Callithrix jacchus: one gene and its partner. The protein of the gene in region 1 purifies or fractionates together with the protein of each later gene. This does not show direct contact. Links are inferred from orthologs where the notes say so. Each region holds a gene or a part of one and is shown on either strand. Other genes may lie near its edges.

What was found.
Region 2: the proteins of MAX (region 1) and E2F6 purify together in Homo sapiens (affinity purification with mass spectrometry; 5 studies listed by BioGRID and IntAct, with this or other methods). This does not show direct contact. The link is inferred for Callithrix jacchus from reciprocal best matches to the Homo sapiens genes MAX and E2F6.

What each region holds. Positions count from the first base shown.
Region 1 is NC_133509.1:99,766,131-99,777,277, forward strand, and holds the start of MAX (protein max), read right to left. Parts: upstream 7,309-11,147; 5' UTR 7,127-7,308; coding exon 7,091-7,126; exon of another isoform or gene 6,894-7,090; intron 6,362-6,893; coding exon 6,335-6,361; intron 1-6,334. UniProt on the Homo sapiens protein: Transcription regulator. Forms a sequence-specific DNA-binding protein complex with MYC or MAD which recognizes the core sequence 5'-CAC[GA]TG-3'. The MYC:MAX complex is a transcriptional activator, whereas the MAD:MAX complex is a repressor.
Region 2 is NC_133515.1:103,577,043-103,587,949, reverse strand, and holds the start of E2F6 (transcription factor E2F6), read right to left. Parts: upstream 5,264-10,907; 5' UTR 4,985-5,263; coding exon 4,877-4,984; intron 1-4,876. UniProt on the Homo sapiens protein: Inhibitor of E2F-dependent transcription. Binds DNA cooperatively with DP proteins through the E2 recognition site, 5'-TTTC[CG]CGC-3'. Has a preference for the 5'-TTTCCCGC-3' E2F recognition site.

The DNA of each region.
Region 1 (11,147 bases):
GAAAGTCCTAGTCATTACAGAGGAAGAGGAGGCTGGGAGCTCCTGAGGTCATCTGAGTTACTTCCTGATCTCTTAAGCATAACACCTCACCTACAGCTCTGCTGAACTGGACATGTGGTTCCCATGACAACCATGGTTCTCTGTAGCAGATTTCTCTTTTTGGGGCATATGCCTGGAGCACTTCTAAAACTGTCCTAATCTTGTTAAGTCTGGATTCACTGTAAAAGGAATGTTTACTGAACTATAGTGACATATGGAATATTACGGAGAAACTGAGAGGACAGTCAAGCTTGGAACACCAGGTAAGACTAGAGGTAAGTACTCTGTATCATACAATTTTACAGCAAAATTGTAGATGCCTTCTAACAGTAGTGTGCAATAGCTTGACAAAATTAAACATATTTAAGTATCTAGTCCTTTTGAACTTACTGTTGTTCCCTCTGATCATTTACATAAAGATAAGTTGGGCTGGGACTACACCTAAGGAGCTTAAAGGCCAAGAGAGTATTTGGCATGTGTCTGCCACTCCTGTTTGCTATATACTACCTAAGGTGGTTTATTTACATGCAAATTAATCACCCATCTTTGGTCTCCAGAGCAGCCCAATATACTCCTGTCTAAATCACCCTGATTCTTGGCCCTCCTCCCAGCTAAGAGCTGTGCACCGGAATTACCCATAATCCCTCTTGTTGATACAAATAAAATTCTAATTGTCTGTTTTCTTTCTGGGAGAGCCCTGCAAATCTCAAGTAGCTAGAATGAGGTTGCACTTGGTTTCACATGGACCTGCACTAGAGGGGTGGAGCTAAGTATAATTTAACACTAAAATCATCCCCACAGTGCACTACCCACCTCCCATTCACTGAACTCTGAAAGGACTCAAATGGACAAGTCTCTCGGTTAGAGGATTGTAAATGAACTTGGCTGTAGACCATGAGCAGAAATCTTGGCTTCTCATCTGAGGAGCCAGCCAAGTTTGAGAAGTTGGCTCAACAAGGAAAGGCAGCAGTCCACTGCCTGGTAGAAAGCCTGGGCTGGGGACTGTTGTTCTCAAAGTAGTGGATGGAATTTCTGTAGTGGTTCCAGGCCCAATTTAACTAGTAGAAAAGTAGAATCTTTGACCAATCCCTGCTGCCGTGTCCATCCCTGAGCTACTACTGGAGTCAATTTTAAACCTCTCAGAGACAATGGCGAGGATATATTTTCTCTTCCCCAAACCTGATTTAAAAGAGCAAGTTAAAAACATGCATAACTGACAAGCCTAATTCCAGGCAAATCTGAATTAAATGATATCACTGGTGTTTTGAAAGAGCACATAAAAAACCGAAAAACCTTTACACAAGGCTGAGAATGCTCTTTGGAAAACATTTCCAAACCACAGATCCACCCAGCCGGATAACACTGCCTGCACCTCACCCTCACCCTCACCCTCACCCCCACTGGAGGGCTGGCTTGCAGGCTTTATCATTGCCTTGTTAACTGTCTTCACTTGCTGGCAACCCTTTTTGAGAGGGCCAAGATTTCAGAGTTGAAGAAGAAAAACTGGGTGAAGACTCCCAGTGTAAGGCATCTAGTATCCTCCCACAATACTGGTTTTAAAAAACGGGGCCAAACAATCGTCTTGAACAAAAAAAAACTCTACTCAGATGAGCCTGTACTGAGAATGATGTTTAATAATAAAAACGAATGGTACGAAAAGCCCCTTTGTGGACTTAATTAGGCCCTATTCTAGGAGACAACAGAGGTATTCCTGGACTATACAGCAGACTCCCCTACACATCCTATGGGAACAGTGGCTCCACGCTGCCTGCTCTTCAAGTATACTGGATTTGTATATATCGACTTCTGCCAGAAAACCCTTCCTCCAGGGCATCCCTAACAGAAACACTAAGGGGCTATACAGTGATCCACAGATGCTCAACAGACACTCCCACACCAAATCACTTCCAGCTTTGACATCTCTGCCAAGGTTTTTATTCAGCCTCTCCTTTACATTTCTACCCAACTTTCCACACTGGTAGCCAGAATAAAAATCTCCACCTACAATTTGTCCACCTTTGACACTACCAAGCACATGTATCTTAAATGTTGTTAGATGTTGAAGGCAAACATTATTTTGTTAGCCAAGAAGTTGTTACACTAGCCAAGAAGTCATCTAAACTAAGGAGGTCTATTCAAAATTGAGGGAAATCTCTTAAAATTATTTCCTTCCAACTTCCTGCACAGAGACTGCATCTTTGTTCAAGGCATCACATCAGTCAGTAAACTTATTTCCTCCAAGTTCTAGGCAAACAGCATGGGGAAACAAATGGCTCATTATTCCAGGATGCACAAGGTTCTCCAGAACAATGCTATGTCTTGCAGGCTACCTGACAGCTAACCCTACCTATAAGGGGAATCATCTCAATTCTAATACGGAAAATTCTCAGCATATAGAGAATTAGTTGCTCATGAAATATTTACTATCTTTACAAAATGTGAAGGTTGTATTATAGAGGGAAGCTAGTGTTGCTCTTGATTCCTATCAAGCTATTCTCATTAGAGATTAAGGATAACTGAGAATACACAGGCCCAAAATTCTCATCAGAAAAGATCTATTTCTTACTTCTGTTAGATAAGGATCAGATAGGATAAAGTTTGATTTCTAAGCAACTTAAAATATTCATTTGAATCAACCCCAAAATTATAAAAGAATGGGCAGCCAGAATGGGATAAACTCACCAAGCTCCCTAACAGAAAGACATCAATTTTAATTTTCCAATACCTGTCCTGCTTGTAGCTGATTACCTGGTATATATTTCCAACATTATCTAATATATGTATTTGTTTTCAAAACTTTTTTCATTTGGTGCCTAAAAGAACTGTGGAATGCTCTTATCCAAACAGGGCCTCATACTACAGCCATTTCAGAGAAGGATGCCTTGGTTAGGAAATTTTAATTAAAAACCAAGTTGAATTCTTTGACCAACTATTTCACCATTACTGGCATCTTGAAAAAATTCTTTTAGACATAAGACCAAGTTTTACTCTAACATAGGCACGTTTAGGAACTAACTTTGGCATTTCTGTTTTCACTGTCAACACTCTAAGCAGAGAAAAAGTACATGCATCGTGCAGCCCTTCTGCCATGCAACTGACTGCAGGTAAAACAGACTGAAGGTTCCTGAGTGAATTCCAATCTCAAAGCAGACCAAGCTTGTTCTCTCCTGAATTCCTAAAGAAGCAAAGAGCTCTACAAAGTTAAACATATTTCATACCAATAAAGTCCAGAAGTGAAATTGCATAGATCTGTTTTCAAACCCCTAATAGGTATACTGCAACTGCAACTCATTCAGATGCCATGAAGGACGGCGGCGATTGGAAAAAAAAAAACTTGCATTTCCTGACCAACACATTAACCCATACATTTCTTGTATATTTTCACTCTTTCCTAAAGAAATTTCCCAAACGGAAATAAAGCAAAAGGAAGTCCTTGCATATAATATATCTGCCCCAGAAATTTATCTTTAAAATACAACTATTTCCCTCCAAAATATAATAAAAATAAGATAACATCAGTGGGATTCTGTGATGTGTCGAATTTAGCAATAAGAATACTCTTTGGGATTACTTCCTTGGGTCATTGGAGAAGCTGTTTTCCATTTGTACTGCAACATAAAAAAATATTTGCCAAATCGGTTTCACTTTCTGTTAGAGTTAGCCTAACTTCCTAACTCTGTTCTCAGTATCTTCCATTTCTCATGCAGTAAGGCCTAGATATCATAGCAACATTAGAAAACACACATGAATGTTTTTCTATTAGGATCCACAGAACCTTTTTCAAATAACTTTTTTCAATTTCTTCTGTAGTCCTAAATACCTAAGCATTTGGTTGTTCACAGTCCACATTTTTTTTAAACCTTTTTTCTAAGGCTAAACTTAAGAATGGTTTTCTCCCAAATTAAAAAATATATCTATTTATTATCTATATTAAATCTTGAGAAGTAAGCAGATGCATTCACAGAGGGGGAAAAATGGAATCCTTTTTACCCTACACATTCACAATAGTTGTTTGATATACTAAAAAATCTGTCTAACACATATGCTTTTTCTCTCCATGCTGTTATAGTTATACTATGCGGGATAATACTTAGAACTCTCAATAAATAGATGTGTTAAATTAAAAACAAAGTGTCAAACCAACTTCCCTTGCCTACCCTCAAAATCAAAAGGAAAAATTCTAGGCACCTTAATAGCAAACTAAAAATATCTAGACAAAACAATGAGATTAGCATTCCAGGAAAGCCGAAACACAGCAATAATTTCATAAACAAATTTACATCAACACTCATGTGGACAAATATTTTGAAAAGCAGAAGCTTTCAAGAACTGTGAACCAAAATGTCACCAAAAAAAGAACCCTTTTCTCTTACTGGGAAGTCAATATAATTTCAATTCAAAGGATAATTCTGCAAAGGAGGCCTAAACGATCCTTACCCTCCAACCCTGATTAAGCCCTGGCAGATTTTACAACTGGAGACTTGCAGGGGAAAAAAAAAAAAAAGTTTTAAAAAGACTAGGCCCCAAACATGAAGAGTAAAAGTAAATTAAAAAAAGGAATTCGATTTTCAAATATATGTATATGAGAATACTTCAAAGATAAATAAAACAAAACAAATTATTCTTAATGACTATTATCCAGGGATAATTTTTAAGACTTCTGGAACAACTACATCCTCGGATCTTATGGAAATATCAGCTCTCAATAAATAAGTTTTCTTAATACCCATCTGCTTAGACAAACTGTACAATCTTTGCTTGCTCTAATGAAGAGCAGGTACAACCGAGATGGCCTGCCTTTATCGTGTGGTTATTAAGTTCTTATACCAGAGGCATCAAAGTAAGATCCTGCAAATTCTAACAAGCCCCCAAAGAGTTGTTCCACACATATTAAAAATCAGAAAAATGAACATATAAAGTTTGGATTTCTTTTTTTTTTTTGAGATGGGGTCTTGCTCTGTCTCCCAGGCTAGAGTGTAATGGCTCATTGTCACCTTTGCCTCCTGGGTTCAAGCAACTCTCCTGCCTCAGCATCCAGAGTAGCTGAGATTACAGGCACCTGCCACCATGCCTGGCTAATTTTTTGTATTTTTAGTAGAGACAGGGGTTTCACCATGTTCACCAGGATGGTCTTGGACTCCTGACTTCAGGTGATCCTCCCACCTTTGCCTCCCAAAGCGCTGGGATTACAGGTGTGAGCCACCATGCCTGGCCATCTTTCTTAAAAACAGGAAGATCTGGCAATACTGATCCTGCACTCCTACATAACAAACCACTGGAATTTAGTAGTGGCTGACTTTTTAGAGGAGGCATTGCCCTCCAGTACCCCAAGTCTTCACCTCTTCCCTCTTCTTTACTCTTGACAGCCCCCCATGAGCATTAGAATTTTTTAACCCCTATTCTATACACTTCTTACTGTTCCCAACTGTCAAATTTTAGACACTCTGATACACTTCTCTTCCCCTCTCTGATTCTGATTTATTCTATGTGTATTATTTTTTCCCTCTAATCTATTCATGAAACACCCTTATTACTGTCTCAGACTCCAAAGACATGAAATTAGTCTTATCTAAATCCACAGAACCATCTACTGAGAACATTAATATCAAAACCCTAAGAAATTATTGATAAAATTGCATGGTTTCATCACCTTTCAGCAAAGCTGTCTCTGCAGTGCCACTTTTCTTCAACTATTTTTTAGTTTTCTTTATACCTCTTCTTCAAATACAGAGTCAGACCATAACAACCGTATGTGACACTCTCATGATGCAACCTTTGGCTCTTCTACATTTCCAATTTTTGCACTAAAATACCATGTTGTGCTAGATTCTACGGGTCTACAGCAGTCACATGACTTGGTTAAAGGCGATTATTACATGTGGCTTCAGCTTCACACAATTATGCAGATATGGTTTAAAACCTACCTGGTCCTAAGTAAATCTTCTAACCACTTTGCCCTTAAGTAATACTACCAACGACTTCAAAATGCTGCATTTCTCATTTCCACTTATATAGTGGCAGCTGAATCCCCTATCTGAAAACTACAGAACAATTCAATTCTTTGCATACAGCTCCTCTCAGTCACCTAGAGTCACTGAACTTATCACCTGAGCATCTAGAATTATGGGATCTGCAACACCCCCGCCCTCCAGAACCAGGCCCCGCCTCACCTTAATGGTTAACATTAGGGTTTACTACCATATTAAAAGTAATAGAACGATCTCTTTTTCTCTCTGACCCCAAAAAGAATAGAACTGAACGGAAATAAAAATGAAATGGAGAGTAGGAGACGTACCGCAGATTGAAACCTCGGTTGCTCTTCCTGGAATAAGAGAGAAAAAAAAAATAGAAAATATAGAAGTTATTTTTACACTTAACATTCAGTAATAAGAAAGAAAATGCCGGCGGCAGAGGAAGCGGCGGGTGGGGAGTCAGCCCGACACCCCTTCCTCCCTCCCCACCCCTTGCCCCCACCCTTCCACCCTCAGCGGGATCCGGTAGCAAGGTAGAGGGGTCCCGAGCGCCGCCCCTCCTTCCGGGATCCGACCGGGGCCAGAGGGGTCCCGAGCACTGTCTCTTCCCTGCAGACCCAGCTCGGGCATCTAGGCACCCTCAACCCCTCTCCGCCCTTCCTCGCCCCCCAGGATCCGCGGGTCATGGGAGGAGAGAATCGCGATCCGAAGGGGCAGTTCCTGAGCACAGTCCCCTTCGCCTGGATCCGGACAATGGGATCCCAGGCGCCCCCCATCTTTGTCCCCCGAATCCTGACCGGGGGAAAATGGGAGGGGGAGGCCGCAGCACCCTCCCTCGCCGGAGAAGGGAGGGGTCCCAGAGGCCGCGTGTCTTTCCCCCACCTCAGTCCCAGGAGGCCGCTCCAGCCAGGAGCCGGAGCGGAGCGAACCGGGAACGCGACGCAGACAGTCCTGGCCCCAAGGGGAAGGGGAAGGATGCGGCGGCGGCCCGGTCCCCTCCCGCCGTCGCCCCGCTGAGAGCCCCGGCCGCTGTCCCCGCCTGACAACCCGCACTGGAAGGAAGAAGCCCCAGGACTCACGTCGCTCTCCACCTCGATGTCATCGTTATCGCTCATTTCCTACGGCCCAGGAAGCGGCCACTGCAGCGGCGGCGGGGAGGGGAAGGGGTGGAGGGGAGGGGGAAGTCACCGACAACAACAAGCTGAGTCCCCCCCACACACACACTCACTCACTCACTCACTCGCTCTCTCACTCACACACACACACACACAACACGGGCGAGAACCACCTCCTCACTGCAGCACCGGATCAACGGCGGCACGCACGCCCGGTCGGCCCTCACCACGTGATCGGGCTCGTAGCGCTGGGGCCGCCGAGACTTGTAGTTCTTGTCCCTCTGACGGTCGGCCCGGGTAGCTCCAGAAAAACTACAAATCCCAGAAGAAACTAAATCCAGGCGACGCCAGCCCCGCTTGTTGACGGAGCCCAAGGCGCCTGCGTATCCGGGAGAGGGCGGGGCGGAGAGAGCCGCGGCGCGGTGCCTCCTGGGAGTCGTAGTCCGCAGACCGCGAGTTGTCAGGAGGTTTTCCTCCCGAGGTTGCAGAGGAGGCTGCTGGGAAGACAGGACACGTGGAGGGAGCTGGAGCTCCTGGAGCCGGCCACCGTCTGCGCGCTGGGCGCCGGGCCCAGGGGACTGGGTGGAAGCTCTAGGGGAGTAGCTGACTGTCTAAATAACGCTGCCTGTCTTTGGTGCGACCGGTTTTACTTTGCAGTCTTGATGTGGAGTGGTTTCGCTTTGCGTCTTGGGGCGTAACCCGCCCAGGAGGGAATCCGGCTGCGGCGGACCAGGGGGCACGGCTCCGGATACCCGCGCGAACCCTCGGGAGCTGGTGAGGAGGTGTCAGTGGCAGGTGTTTCGTGGAGTTACCGGACAGGCAGGATGACCGACCTCGCCGGGCGACCGCTCATAGCCGCAAGAATCCTGTATTCATTTATCCGAGAGTGACCATCCTCGACACTCCGCTACTCACGTGAGCTTCCAGCATTCACAGAACCCGAACCCTCAACCACCGTGGACTTGGAAGTAAAACCCCTTCAGAGTTTGTTGTGTAGCCCAGGCAGTTTAGGCAATATCCCAGCTCAAGTACCATAATTAAGATTGCAAAAAGGATCAATATGGGAAACTTGTGCAGCTCCCTGTCCAGTTAAAATCATATTTACATACTGTGGAGTAAAATGTAGTCACATCCATTCCACCAATATTTATTGAACACCTAACATGTGCCACAAGGGGATGCCATAACGGATAAGACCAGAACGATCCCTGCCTTAGTGTGGTTCACAGCTATGCAAGCAAACCTGACTGCCCTGCCGCCATTTTAGGAGTGCAACAAGTCCCATGGGAAGAAAAAAAAAAAAAGACACTTTCCACCCTGAGACAAAGTACCCGTACTACTCCTTTACATCTGATCTCCAAAATGAATGACATTTTGAGCTTTTCCATGAGTTACTGATTCCCGGATGAAAATTATATTATCCCTGACTTTTGAATGTGGAAATTTGGGGATATGTCGCACACAATTCTTGGGACATACATTCCTTTTGAACTTACCTTTTCTACGTGTTCCTTTCCTGCTGAGTTGGGGAGACAGACATAAGCAGACCATTATGTGATAAGGGCTGATGACAGACGGCCACTCTTGAGTGAGTTAATTAACTGGATACTAGAAGTTAAAGCTAATTGATTATTACAAGAAACCGTTGTTGAGTGCCTGCTATGTACAGAGCATTCTAGGACAATCCCGGCTCCAAGTTAAAATCACCCTAGGGGCTTTAAAAAATTCCCATTCCCAGGCCACACCCCAAACCATTTAAGCCAGAACCTCTGGAGGTGAGATCCAGACTAAAGGATTTTTTTTTTTTTTTTTCTTTTTGCAGGGGGCAAAGTCATGCTCTGTCGCCCAGGCTGGAGTGCAGTGGCTCCATCTCAGCTCTCTGCAACCTCCGTCTCCTGGGTTCAAGCGATTCTGCTGCCTCGGTCTCCCGAGTAGCTGGGATTACAGGTGCCTGCCATTACACCTGGCTAAGTTTTGTATTTTTAGTAGAGACAGGGTTTCACCATGTTAGGCTGGTCTTGAATGTCTGACCTCAGGTAATCCACCTGCCTTGGCCTCCCAAAGTGCTGGGATTACAGGTGTGAGCCACCGCACCTGGCCAGACTGAAGGATTTTTCAAAGCTCTTCTAGTAATTCCAATGTGTACCCAAGACCGGAATCACAGCTATAGATGATGCCAGAATAAATAAGATAGTCTCTCACTGAATTGTATGCTTCCAAAGAGTGAATTTTATGGTATGTCAATAATTATATTTCAATAAAACTTATAAAAGAATAAGATAAGCTTCACCCACATGGAATTTAAAATCTTACAGGAGTAAATTATCAACTCAAATAATTGTGATAAAGACAGATTATGTAAGTGTCAAATTGTTTGTACATGCAGTGAATGCTGTAAGAACTGAGGAAGGAGAAGGAGTGCCAGGTATGAGGTAGGGTTGGGGATGTCTTGGTGATCAGGAAAGTCTTATTTATTTATTTAGAGATGGATTCTCGCTCTGTTGCCAGGCTGGAGTGCAGTGGTGCCATCCTGGCTCACTGCAACCTTCACCTCCCATGTTCAAGCGATTCTGCCTCAGCCTCCGGAGTAGCTGGGACTACAGGTGAGTGCCACCATGCCCAGCTAATTTTTGTATTTTTAGTAGAGGCAGGGTTTCACCGTGTTGACCAGGCTGGTCTCGATCTCTTGACCTTGTGATCCACCTGCCTCGGCCTCCCAAAGTGCTGGGATTACAGGTGTGAGCCACCACAAGTGGCCTTATTTTTATTTTTTGAGATGAAGTCCCACTCTGTTGCCCAAGCTGGAGTACAGTGGCGTGATTTTCACTCATTGCAACCTCCGCCTCCTGGGTTCAAGCAATTCTCCTGCCTCAGCCTCCCGAGTAGCTAGGACTACAGGCACGCACCACCATGCTCAGCTAATTTTTGTATTTTAGTAGAGATGGGGTTTCATTATGTTGGCCAGGCTGGTCTCAAACTCCTGACCTTGTGATCTGCCTGCCTTAGCTTCCCAAAGTACTGGGATTACAGGTGCGAGCCACCACACCCAGCCTGGAAAGTCTTCTTAGGTTGTCAGTTCCATTAGGGTAAGGGCTGGGTCTGCAAATATTTTGCTTATCATGAATAAGGTGGACTGAGGTGAGGAGGAAAGCCTTTTCTGGTAGGGAGACTGGAGATTTTTACACATCTCCTTTTAGTAATCAATAGAATATGAAGACCTGTCAACCTGATTAACAGATCTGACCTAATAGACAAAACACTGCACCCAACAGTTGTAGAATATGTTATCTTCAATCACTCATGGAACATTTACAAAAACTGACCACGTTCTTAGCCACAGGCAACACTCAACAAGTTTTTTAAAGGACTTTAACGTTAGTGTATTCTTGGACCTATTGCAATTAAAGTAGAAAAATAACAAAAAGTTAACTAGAAAAGTCTCATATATTTGAGATTTAAGAAACTTTTAGGCTAGGGACAGTGGCTCACTCCTGTAATCCTAGCACTTTGAGAAGCCAACGCAGGAGGATCACTTGAGCTCAGGAGTTCAAGACCATCTTGGTCAACATGGTGAAATCCTATCTCTATGAAAAACACAAAAATTAGCTGGGCATGGTGGTGGGCTCCTGTAATCCCAGCTACTCGGGAGGCTGAGGCAGGAGAATCTCTTGAACCTGGGAGATGGAGGCTGCAGTGAGCCTGGGCAATACAGCAAGACTCCATCTCAAAAAAAAAAAAAAGTAAACTTTTAAATGACACATATATGCAGGAAAGAACGAGACAGATGAGAAGTTTTCTTTAGCGTTTCTTTGCAGTGTTTTTCTGATGTGAATCTAAGACCCCAAGAACTCATTTTCATCTACACCTGAGTATCTTTGGTAACACCCCAGGGGAGCTTATTAGGGCTGAGCTGCAAACACAGCTCAGGCCCCCCTCAGACCTACTAAATCAGATCTGCATGATAACATTATGCCCAGGTAATTCATATGCACATTGGAGTTTCAGCGCTGTGAGGAAGGGG
Region 2 (10,907 bases), on another chromosome or scaffold:
CGAAGTCCAGATCCTCTGGGACCCTCTTTCCGGTCTGTGCTTGGATGACAACTTCAGACTCCCTGACTTTTGGATTCCAGGAGTTACCCTAGCAGCTTCCAAGGTTCTCATGCTATGGACTCGGACTGAGCCATGTAACCAGCATCCCAGGGTTTCCAGCTTGCAGCCAGCCAGCCTGTGTGGGACTTCTCAGTTTTCATAAACATGAGCCAACTTCCCTAATAAATCCCCTCTCGTATCTCCACATGCAATCATGCATCTTCTTAGAATCATTAGGTGATTTTGTTGTGTGAACATCACAGTGTTTAAACAAACGTAGATGGCATAGCCCACTACACACCCAGGCTATATGGTATAGCCTATTGCTGCTAGGCTGCAAACTTGTATAGCATATGATTGACTGAATACTGCAGACGACGGTAACTAACAATGGTATTTGTGCATCTACACATAGAAAAGGTAATGTTTGGTGTTAAGACCATTATGATGGCCACAATGTCACTAGGTGACAGAAATTGTTCAGCTCTATCATAATCTCACAGGACTACCTCCGTATATGTGGTCCACCACTCACCGAATCATGCAGTACATGATTGTGTGTATATATATATATATATATATACACACTATTGGTTCTGTCTCTCCAGAGAAACCTAATACATATTTGGTACTAGAAATGGAATGGGTCATACTTGCACCTCACCTTTAAAGGCCTGTTGGGACTTGGGTCTAGTTATAGGTCTAGATGCAAAGAGGGGTGGTGGGGATGGGTCCTGATGAGAATCAGCATTGTCTTGGCTGGGAACTAGCAATGTTTCAGAGGAGGCCATTACTATTTTCACAGGCAATGCAGAATCAATCCCCCCAGAAAGGGATGGAAAGGCTGATACCACTGTAGGTGGAAATGCTACTGCCCCTCTGGCAAACAAGACTCATCCGAATTTAGGGGCTCAATGTGTCCAGCCTCATCTTCCCACATAATCCCATACAAACTTGCAGAGATCTCACTCTTTCCCAACCAATACCCTCACTTTAACAGTAGATGCTCCGCGAGGCTAAGAGAGTTCAACTTTCATTGTGATATGCCAGTTGCACGATGAAGGCTTGTGTTTCATTTTCAGGAGTTTCAGCCCTGTGGCTACAGGATAGAAAACTCTAACCCAGGGCACACTTAGAAACTTTTAGGTCACTTATGTAGCGCTCCAGTCATGAAACTGAATCCCCGAGCTCATCCTTTTCTTTCGTCATGTTGTTTAAAGACACTAGGAGCAACCAACCAACGCCATCATAATCCTTGTTTTTCCAAAAATGTCTGAAAGTGTCACTCAATTATTTGCCTCTTCTAAGTGGTGAATTATAATGTCAAAGGCATGTATTCTGCATATCTATAAACAGTTCGAGTCAAGGGCTACCAGTGCTCTCTCTATGAGAAGTAGAGCCCTTGGCATTTTTAGGTTCTAATCAGATTAAAGAACCAGTTCTAAAAATCCCAATTAAGGAAACTCATCCTTAAAATTCTGTTCCCCTAGAACCATTCCTGGTACCAAATCTGTATTAGTATTGCTCTGTCTCTCTGGAGAACCCTGATCGATACAGCAATAACTTTAATTTTAGATATACAGTAGTCCACCCTGTGTATCTAAAACCACAGTGGATACCTAAAACCACAAAGAGTACCAAACCCCTGTGTATACTATTTTTTTCCTATTCATACATACCTGTGATAACGTTTAATTTATAAATCGGGCCTAGTAAGAGATTAACAGCTAATAATAAAATAGAACAATTACAGCAATATACTACAATGAAAGTTTTATGAATGTGGTCTCTTTCTCAAAATATCTTATTATATTGTAGATCTTAGCAACCTTAGAATAAGGTATTTTTTTCTTTCCTTACTAAGAACTTAGATCTTTTCACTTAAAGGAAACACCTTCATCAATTCTCTTAGGCATACTGGAATTGCCAGCATCATTACTCTTGTGCGTTGGGGCCATTACTAAGTAAAATAAGGGTTACTTGAACACAAGCACGGTGACAGTTGTTCTGAGAATCGAGACAGTTACTAAGAGACTAAGGGCAGAGAGCAAAGACAGCATGGGAACTCTGGACAAAGGAAGATTTGGGTGCTGGGTAGTACTGGACATCTGGAGATTTCATCACACTGCTGAAATGGCAAGCAATTTAATACTAATGAATTGTTTATTTTAAATTTTCATTTAAATTTTAATATTTTGGGAGACCACAGGTTAACTAAAATCAAGGAAAGTGAAACCTCAGATGGGGGGATTAACAGGAGTTTGAAACCTAAGTAAGGAAAGTCTAGCAGACAGTTGGAAAACCCTGAGGGAGATTTATAGATTTGGGAATTGTGACATGGTAACTGAAAATACCAGAAGTATATGTCTAAGATTTCAAGGGATGTCTCTATCTGCTGATATTACATGCGAAGTGGTTTTTCCACAGTGAGCTGAGTTTTTATCAAATTCTCATATTTTAAGACCACCAATACAGATGGTACCAATACACAGTTTGACTCTCAAATAACACACGTTTTAAATGTGTGGGTCCACTTATATGTCAATTTTCTTCACCCCCTACCACCCCTTATTTAGCAAAACCAATTCCTCCTCTTACTCTTCATCAGCCTACTCAATATGACGACAAGATAAAGACCTTTACGATGATCTAATTCCCCTCAATAAAGGCTATCTCTTATTTATGATTTTCTTAATAACATTTTCTTTTCTTTAGCTACTTTATTATAAGAATACAGTATCTAATACAGGTAAACATAAAAGAAGTGTTAATCAACTGTTTACATTATCAGTAAGGCTTCCAGGATACAGTAAACGTTTGAGGGAGTCAAAATTATATTCAGATTTTGAATTTCATGGGATTTGGTGCCCCAATCCCTGAGTCAAGGATCAAATGTAGATAGTAACAGAAGTCATGGGAGGAGTGAATGAACTCCCCTAAGAAGAATGTGTAGAGATGGTAGAAGAGAACCCGAATAACATCAACATATGGCCAGCTGCGGTGGGAAGAATGCTTGAGCCCAGGAGTTCAAGACCAGCCTGGGCCTTGTAGGGAGGCCTCCATCTCTAAAAATAAAAACTAAAAATTAGCCAGGTGTGGTGGCATGTGCCTATGGTCCCAGCTACTTGGGAGGCAGAGGCAGGAGGATCACTTTGGGAGGTCGAAGCTTCAGTAAGCCATAATCATGGCACTGCGCTCCAGCCAGGGTGACAGAGTGAGAGTCTGTCCCGGAGAAACAAACAAACAAAATCAACATGAAGGAATGGGAAGAGGATGAGGACAAGGAGAGGCCAGAGAAGCAGATGGAGTATCAATGTCAAGGAAACTCAAGGGAGAGTTGTGTCAAAACTACAACAGCTGATGGAAATGACAAGATTGTTCACAACCCAACAGCTGATGGAACTGACAAAATTGTCAGTTAGCAAGGTCTTCTTAGAGGTGTGCTTAGGGTAGGGGTCCCCAGGAGTGGGTTAGGTGGTAATAAGGGACGATCAAGTGTAACAGTGAGTGTAAATAACTTTTTCAAGTTTAGCTGTGAAGGGGAAGAGAGACAGTAGATGGGAGGGAATATGGGAGTGATCAATTAAGGGAGTGATCTTTTAAGATGGGGATGGATTTACAATGCAGTTTTAGTAGTGAAGAATGTATCATTTGGTTGAAACTTGGAGGTTCAACCCAAGTTTCTCCACTTACTATCTAGCCACAGGCAAGCCAGCATTACATACATCTCCAAGTCTGTTTTGGCAACCGTAAAACAAGAATAATCATCTTTTATTATAAAACACTGCTGCGAGAAATTAGGCAATGATCACAAACTATTTGGCATGGGGACCAGAATTAATGGCTTGGGAAATGTTTAATTACTAGTAGTTATAGGAAGAAAGCAGCAAAGAAATGAAAACTATGGGGAGAGGCTGGGGGCAGTGGCTCACGCCTGTAATCCCAGCACTTTGGGAGGCCGAGGCGGGTGGATCACCTGAGGTAGGAGTTCGAGACCAGCCTGGCCAACATGGTGAAACCCTATCCCTACTAAAAATACAAAAATTTGCCAGGTGTGGTGGCGCATGTCTATGATCCCAGCTACTTGGGAGGCTGAGGCAGGAGAATCGCTTGAACCTGGAAGGCGGAGGTTGCAGTGAGCTGAGATTGCGCCATTGCACTTCAGCCTGGGCAACAACAGTAAAACTCCATCTCGGGGGTGAAAGAAAACCCAGAAAGAAAGAAAGAAAAAGGATAAGAAAAAAAAAAAGAAAGAAAAAGAAAATACGAGAGAAATGGAAAAGGATGCATTTGTTAAGGGCCCTGAAAACTGCAGAGAGTAAAACTGCTGGTCGAGAACAAGAGTATAAAAAATCAGCTTTGGCAGGAAGGGGAGCCAAATCTCCTAAACATTTTCTCTGTCAAACAGGTGGGGAGATAATGTGCTGAACGGGAGCTGTGACGTGGGAAATATGAAGCGTGGACAAGGTTTTAAACGGCTGCAGTAGAGTAAAAGGATGGGAGAGGAGGCAGAAGAGAACAAATGATAGGTTGCAGAGGTACAGCTAGAGTTGGAAGAAGGAGAAAAACATGGATTTTCTAATGCAAAGTTGAGCAATTTTCTCCAACAGTGCCCTCAAGTTCCGACGTAAAAGGGAAGAAGACTGACACCACGTCTGCGAGCAGGCGCTGAAACCAGAAAGGCGGGAGAGCGCAGTTCGCAGCACGTGACGGGCAGCGCCTGGTCCAGGGGGAGCAAACGACCGAGACGACGACCCGAGGGGTTGGCGGCAGCGCGGGGAGGAGGGGGCCGGATCTGGGAGACCCCCGCCCGCGCCCGTCCCGTCCCGGCGCTTACCAGCAGGCCCTCCACGTTGATAGGGTCTCGGCACCGACGGCGAACTGTCTCCTCCGCCGGGTCCAGTAGGAGACTGGGCAACTTCCTCGCTGGCCGCTGCTGACTCATGTTGCCCAGCCGGGCGTCCCGCTCCCCTCGCACCCCGAGAGCTCTCCCGCCCTCTCGCGCCTAGCTCGAGCGCCGCCCCCCAAGCGCCGATTTCCAAGGGCCCAGCACTTAACGGGTCTGCGGCCTGCTCCGAGGCGCCGCCCGGCTAGGCCGTCCCGCCTGCGGGAAAACGCGCCACGGCTTCACGTGCCCTGGAGCTCCGGCCGCAGACGAGACAGGAGGAGGGAAACCCGCGCCTCTCAGGTCGCCTGGACCGCCATCTTCCCGCATGCGCACTGTACCGCCCCCCGCGCATGCCCTCCGCGGCCGGAACGCTCCCACGCAGCGATCCTCTCCTGGCTGCCGGAGCCTTGAAAACCCGGACCGCGGTGTTCACGGAGAGGACGGCAAAGGAAAAAGAAGAGGTGGAGCTGGATTTTAGAGGAAGGGGACGGGGGTGAGAGAATAGAAAGCAGCAGCCGGGGAAAACGCAGCGCCCGCCTGGAATTCTCGACGCTGATAACTGAAAGTTCTGAGCTGCACAGATGTTCATTTATTCTCTTTTTTAAAAAATAATTTTTTTTTGTCTCCCAGGCTGAAGTGTAGTGGTGTGGTCACAGCTCACTGCAGCCTCGAATCCCCAGGCTCAAGCAATCCTCCCACCTCAGCCTCCAGAGTAGCTGGGACTACAGGCGCGCTCCACTGCACCCAGCTAATCTTTCTTTCTCTCTCTCTTTCTTTCTTTCTTTCTTTCTCTTTCTTTCTTTCTTTCTTTCTTTTTCTTTCTTTCTTTCTTTCTTTTTCTTTCTTTCCTTTCTTCCCTTCCCTTCCTTCCCCTTCCTTCCCCTTCCTTCCTGCCTGCCTCTCTTTCTTTTCTTTTCTTTTGAGGTGGAGTTTTGCTTTCGTCACCCAGGCTGGAGTGCAATGGTGTGAGCTCATCTCAGTGCAACTTCCGCCTCCCGGTTCAAGCGATTCTCCTGCCTCAGCCTCCCAAGTAGCTGGGATTACAGGCATGCGCCACCACACCCGGCTAATTTTGTAGTTTTAGTAGAGATGGAGTTTCTCCATGTTGGTCAGGCTGGTCTCAAACTCCTGACCTCAGGTGATCCTCCTGCCTCTGCCTCCCAAAGTGCTGGGATTACAGGCATAAGCCACTGCGCCTGGCTAATTTTTAATTTTAATTTTAGTAGAGAAAAGGTCTCAGTATATGCCCCGGCTGGTCTTGAACTCTGGGGCTCAAGCCATCTTCCCACCTTGGTCTCCCAAGCGCTGGGATTTTAGGCATGAGCCACCACACCCAGGCTTCATTTATTCATGGCACAGGCTGGTCAGTGTTGATGCTTAGTAAATGTGGGTAACCAAACCTCTGTGGAATTGTTTTACTTCTCTCCTCCCTCCCTCCCTTCCTCTCTCCCTCCCTCCCTCCCTTCCTTCCTCCTTTCCTCCTGTTTGATGAATGAGTTATTGTTGACTTATTGTGTCAGGTAATGGGGTGGGTACAGGAGATATTTACTCATTTGAATATGCCATGGGTTCAACCTCCAATTTCAGTGGGGACAGATAAGTAAACAGAGCATGTTAATTAAGCTGGAGCTAGAAGGTGTGTTTTCAAATCTTGGCTGCTTCTACTTATAAACTAGAAGACCTTATTAGTCAGTTACTTAATCTGTCTGTGCCTCAGTCTCCTTGTCTGGAAAAGGCAAATAATGACAATACTTACTTGATAAGGTTGTTGTGAGGATTAAATGGATTAATGGACACAGGCTGCTGTGATTGGAACAGAGACCAGCACGTGTTTGAAATAAAAAGGCAATACACTGTGATATGTACGGGGTTGGAGGGAAACAATTGGTTAGACTGGGGGTTTTTACCCAGCCTGAGGTGGGCGAGGTGAGGCAGGGAAAGCTTCCCAAGGAAGCTGGTTCCCCACTAGACTATGAGGTCAGAGGCTTCTCTAATCTTTTTTTTTTTTTCTGTCAACCATACTGGAGGGCAGTGGCATGATCATAATTCACTGTAGGGTCAAACTCCTGGCCTCAAGTGTTCTCCCAGCTAAGCCTCCCAAGTAGCTGGGAGTACAGGTGCCACCATGCCTAGCTAATTTTTTTTTCTTTTTAACTCCCTACCTTAAGCGACCCTCCTGCCTCAGTTTCCCAAGGTGCTGGAGTTATAGGTGAGAGCCACCATGCCTGGCTTCTAATCTTTGTATCTCAATCATCTAGCACAGCAGTGGCAAATAAAACATGCTCAGTTAATATTTGCTAAGTAAATGATGAGAAAAAAAAAAAACCTAGCGGAGGTATTGAGGAGACGGTGTACTGTTGAGGAATGGAGAATTTCCCAGAGCTGTTAGAAATGGCCATTTTCAAGGCATTTATTCAGCATCTGCTATGTGTTTGGCATTCCTCATACTATTGCTTATGTAAATCTCATATCAAAACTGAAAGATAGATATTTTTCTGCCCAATTTACAGATCAGCAAAATTAAGATAGGCAGAATTACAAAAATTTACCAGGTCCTAGGTAGGCAGTGGTAGAGGCAGGCTTTTTGACTCCACAACTGATTAATTCATTTGGCATTCAGATCTTTGGGAAGATTCTTGAAGGACTACTAGATTCTCTATAGCCAGAGATGGGGTTGGGCAAGTAAAGGTGGGGTGTGGATCAGGACGGGGGTAGCAGGTGCTCCAGGCTAAACAAAGAGCATGAGCACAGAGCTGGGGAGAGTCAGGGAAATGGCACAATCCTCACCTGTGACCTGGCTTTTCCCCGAGACATAATCTTTAGCACATTTTTTTTTTTAGACGGAGTTTCGCTCTTGTTTCCCAGGCTGGAGTGCAATGGCATGATCTCAGCTCACTGCAACCTCTGCCTCCTGGGTTCAAACGATTCTCCTGCTGAAGCCTCCTGAGTAGCTGGGATTACAGGCATGCACCATCACACCCAGCTAATTTTGTATTTTTAGTAGAGATGGGGTTTTGCCATGCTGGCCAGGCTGGTCTTAAACTCCTGATCTCAGGTGATTCGCCTGCCTTGGTCTCCCAAAGTGCTGGGATTACAGGCGTGAGTCACCGGGCCTGGCCTTTTGCACTTCTGTATGAGCATCTCTCAGGTGCCGAGCAGTAGGGTAGGTGTTGAGGGGAGGACTGAATCTGATGGGGCCTTACCTTGTTCCAGCCTGGTGGAGACTCATAATCAGAAAGCATAAGAACTAAATTAGAGTATGTCTAACACACAATAGCAGCACAACAGAGGAAGAAAAAACTAACGGAGTGAACTGTAAACTACAGGTGCCTTTTCACACGTCTCCCTGTGAGGTAGCTATTTCAAGAATACTCTATAGAAAGCCAGGTGTGGTGGCTCACGCCTGTAGTTCCAGCACTTTGGGAGGCTGAGGCAGGAGGAACACTTGAGGTCAGGAGTTTGAGACCAGCCTGACCCATCTCTACTAAAAATATGAAAATTAGCCAGGTGTGTTGGTGCCTACCTGTAATCCCAGCTACTCAGGAGGCTGAGGCAGGAGAATCACTTGTACCCGGGAGGTAGAGGTTGCAGTGAGCCGAGATTGCACCACTGCACTCCAGCCTGGGCAACAGAGTGAGACCCTGTTTCAAAAAAAAAAACAGAAAAAGAATACTTTGTAGAAGAGTGTACGGAGGCTCAGAGAAGTTTGCTCCAGTTGCATGGGGACTCGAATACCAGGACTTTAGCCATTATACCCTTGGCCTTGTCCGCCATGGTCTTGCATGGTATACAGTCACAGTTCCCAGCACAGAAATTCTAATATTTCCCAGTTCCAGCACTGTTTTTGTGTGTGCTTCCTGGGGCAAAATGGTGCTAGGGCAGAATGGGGCATGCGCTTTGGGACTTCTAAGTTAGGGCTGAAGGCTGTACTTCCAGGGCTTATTTCTGAAGTTAGGGATGAAATGTAGGCCAAGCACACAGGTGTGCTTGAGCAATGCTGACAGGCCTCACCTGTCAGAGGATATTTTACTTCCCTTCTGCTTGAAAATGTCCTCTCCAGAGGTCCGTGACGAAATGACTAGTATCCACTAGGGCTTTCTGTGATGATGGGAATGTTCTGCATTGTCCCACATGGCGGCTACTGCCCCGTGTGGCCATTGGCACTTGAAAATATGGCTGCTTTTTTTTAAATTTTAATTTCATTTCATTTGTAATTTAAATAGCCACATAACTAGCGGCTACCATATTGGATAGCACAGGCGAAGAAACTAAAATTGTGGTTATCACTGGGTCCAGTTGCTATGGTCAGAACGTTTGTGTTCCCTCAAAATTCATACATTGAAATCTAATCTCCAGTGTGATAATATTTGGAGCTGGGGCCTCTGGGAGGTGATTAGGTCATGAGGAAAGATTGCCCAGCAGTGGGATTGGTGTCTAAGCCAAAGGGAATAGCCAAGCTGAGAACCACATCATGCAAACCTGCCTCCCATTCTGTTCCTAAATAAGACAGCTACAATGATAAAAAGCCACATGCTTCCTCTACATTTCCCACTAGGAAATTCCTTATGGGCCCCAAGATATTTACCCTAAAACAGTTCTGTTGAATTTCACCTGGACAACATAGATTGATAGCTTATCTTCATAGGTATGAGACAAAGAACAGAATTCAGTTACCCCTCTGCTCACCTGAGACAAATGCATGGCTGATGGCTTCCTCTGCCCTATGTTTATTTTACCTTATGTAAAAGTGCAGATTCACTGAGCTAGGTGAATGCATAAGTGATTATTCCTCTACCTGCCTCTTCTATGTGAACGGCTGATTAAAGGCTCATAAGAATGAAACTGCTTAGCTCTTCTCTATCAACACCTTTTAAAAATGTCTTCCTCTTTTCCCAATATCGGCCCTTTCCCCTTTAAATATTGAAGCCCTCAAAATCATCTTTGGAGAAAGGTATAGACCTGTCTCTTGGGCAGTGTCTTTAACCTTGGCAAAATAAACTTCTAAATTGGTTGAGACCTGTCTCAGATACTTTTTGGTTTATAATGACCACTGTATTAGTCAGGGTTTTCCAGAAGGACAGAACTAATAGGATAGATGTATATGTGAAGGTGAGTTTATTAAAGAGTGTTGACTCACACGATCACAAAGTGAAGCCCCACAACAGCCCGTCTGCAAGCTGAGGAGCAAGGAAGCCAGTCCAAGTCCCAAAACCTCAAAAATAGGGAAGCTGACGGTGTAGCCTTCAGTCTGTGGTTGAAGGTCCAAGAGTCCCAAAGCTGGAGAAATTGGAGTCCGATGCTCGAGGACTAGAAGCATCCAGCATGGGAGAAAGATGGAGGCCAGAGCACTCGGCCAAGTCTAGTCTTTCCATGTCTTCTGCCTGCATTTTATTCTGGCCGCACAGGCAGCTGACTAGATTGTGCCCACCCAGATTGCGGGTGGGTCTGCCTTTCCCAGTCCACTGACTCAGATGTGAATCTCCTTTGGCAACACCCTCACAGACACACCCAGGAACAATACTTTGCATCATTCAATCCAATTAAGTTGACACTCAATATTAACCATCGTATTATCTATGAACCAGGAAGCAAAGTGGTCCCTCACTGGAAGCTGAATCTGCCAGTGCCTTGATTTTGGACTTCCCAGCCTCCACAACTGTGAGTTTCTGTTGTTTATAAGCTCACTCAGTTTACAGTGTTCTGTTACAGCAGCCTGAACAGACTAAGAAACCAATTAGATACTCTAAGCATGGTCTGTCGACCTCAGCATTGCCGTCACCTGCAAGCTCATTAAAAATGCAAATTCTTTAGTCCTTTGCAGACCCACTGAATCAGAAACTGAAGATTTGGGTATGCTCTGCAAGGCACCCCAGTCCAACTATTTATTTTCTAGATAAGGAAACTGACCCCTGCCTCCTCTTCGGATACCCCTAAATTGATACTTGGCTAAATTGTAGCCAAGTTAACTTTACCAATGCAG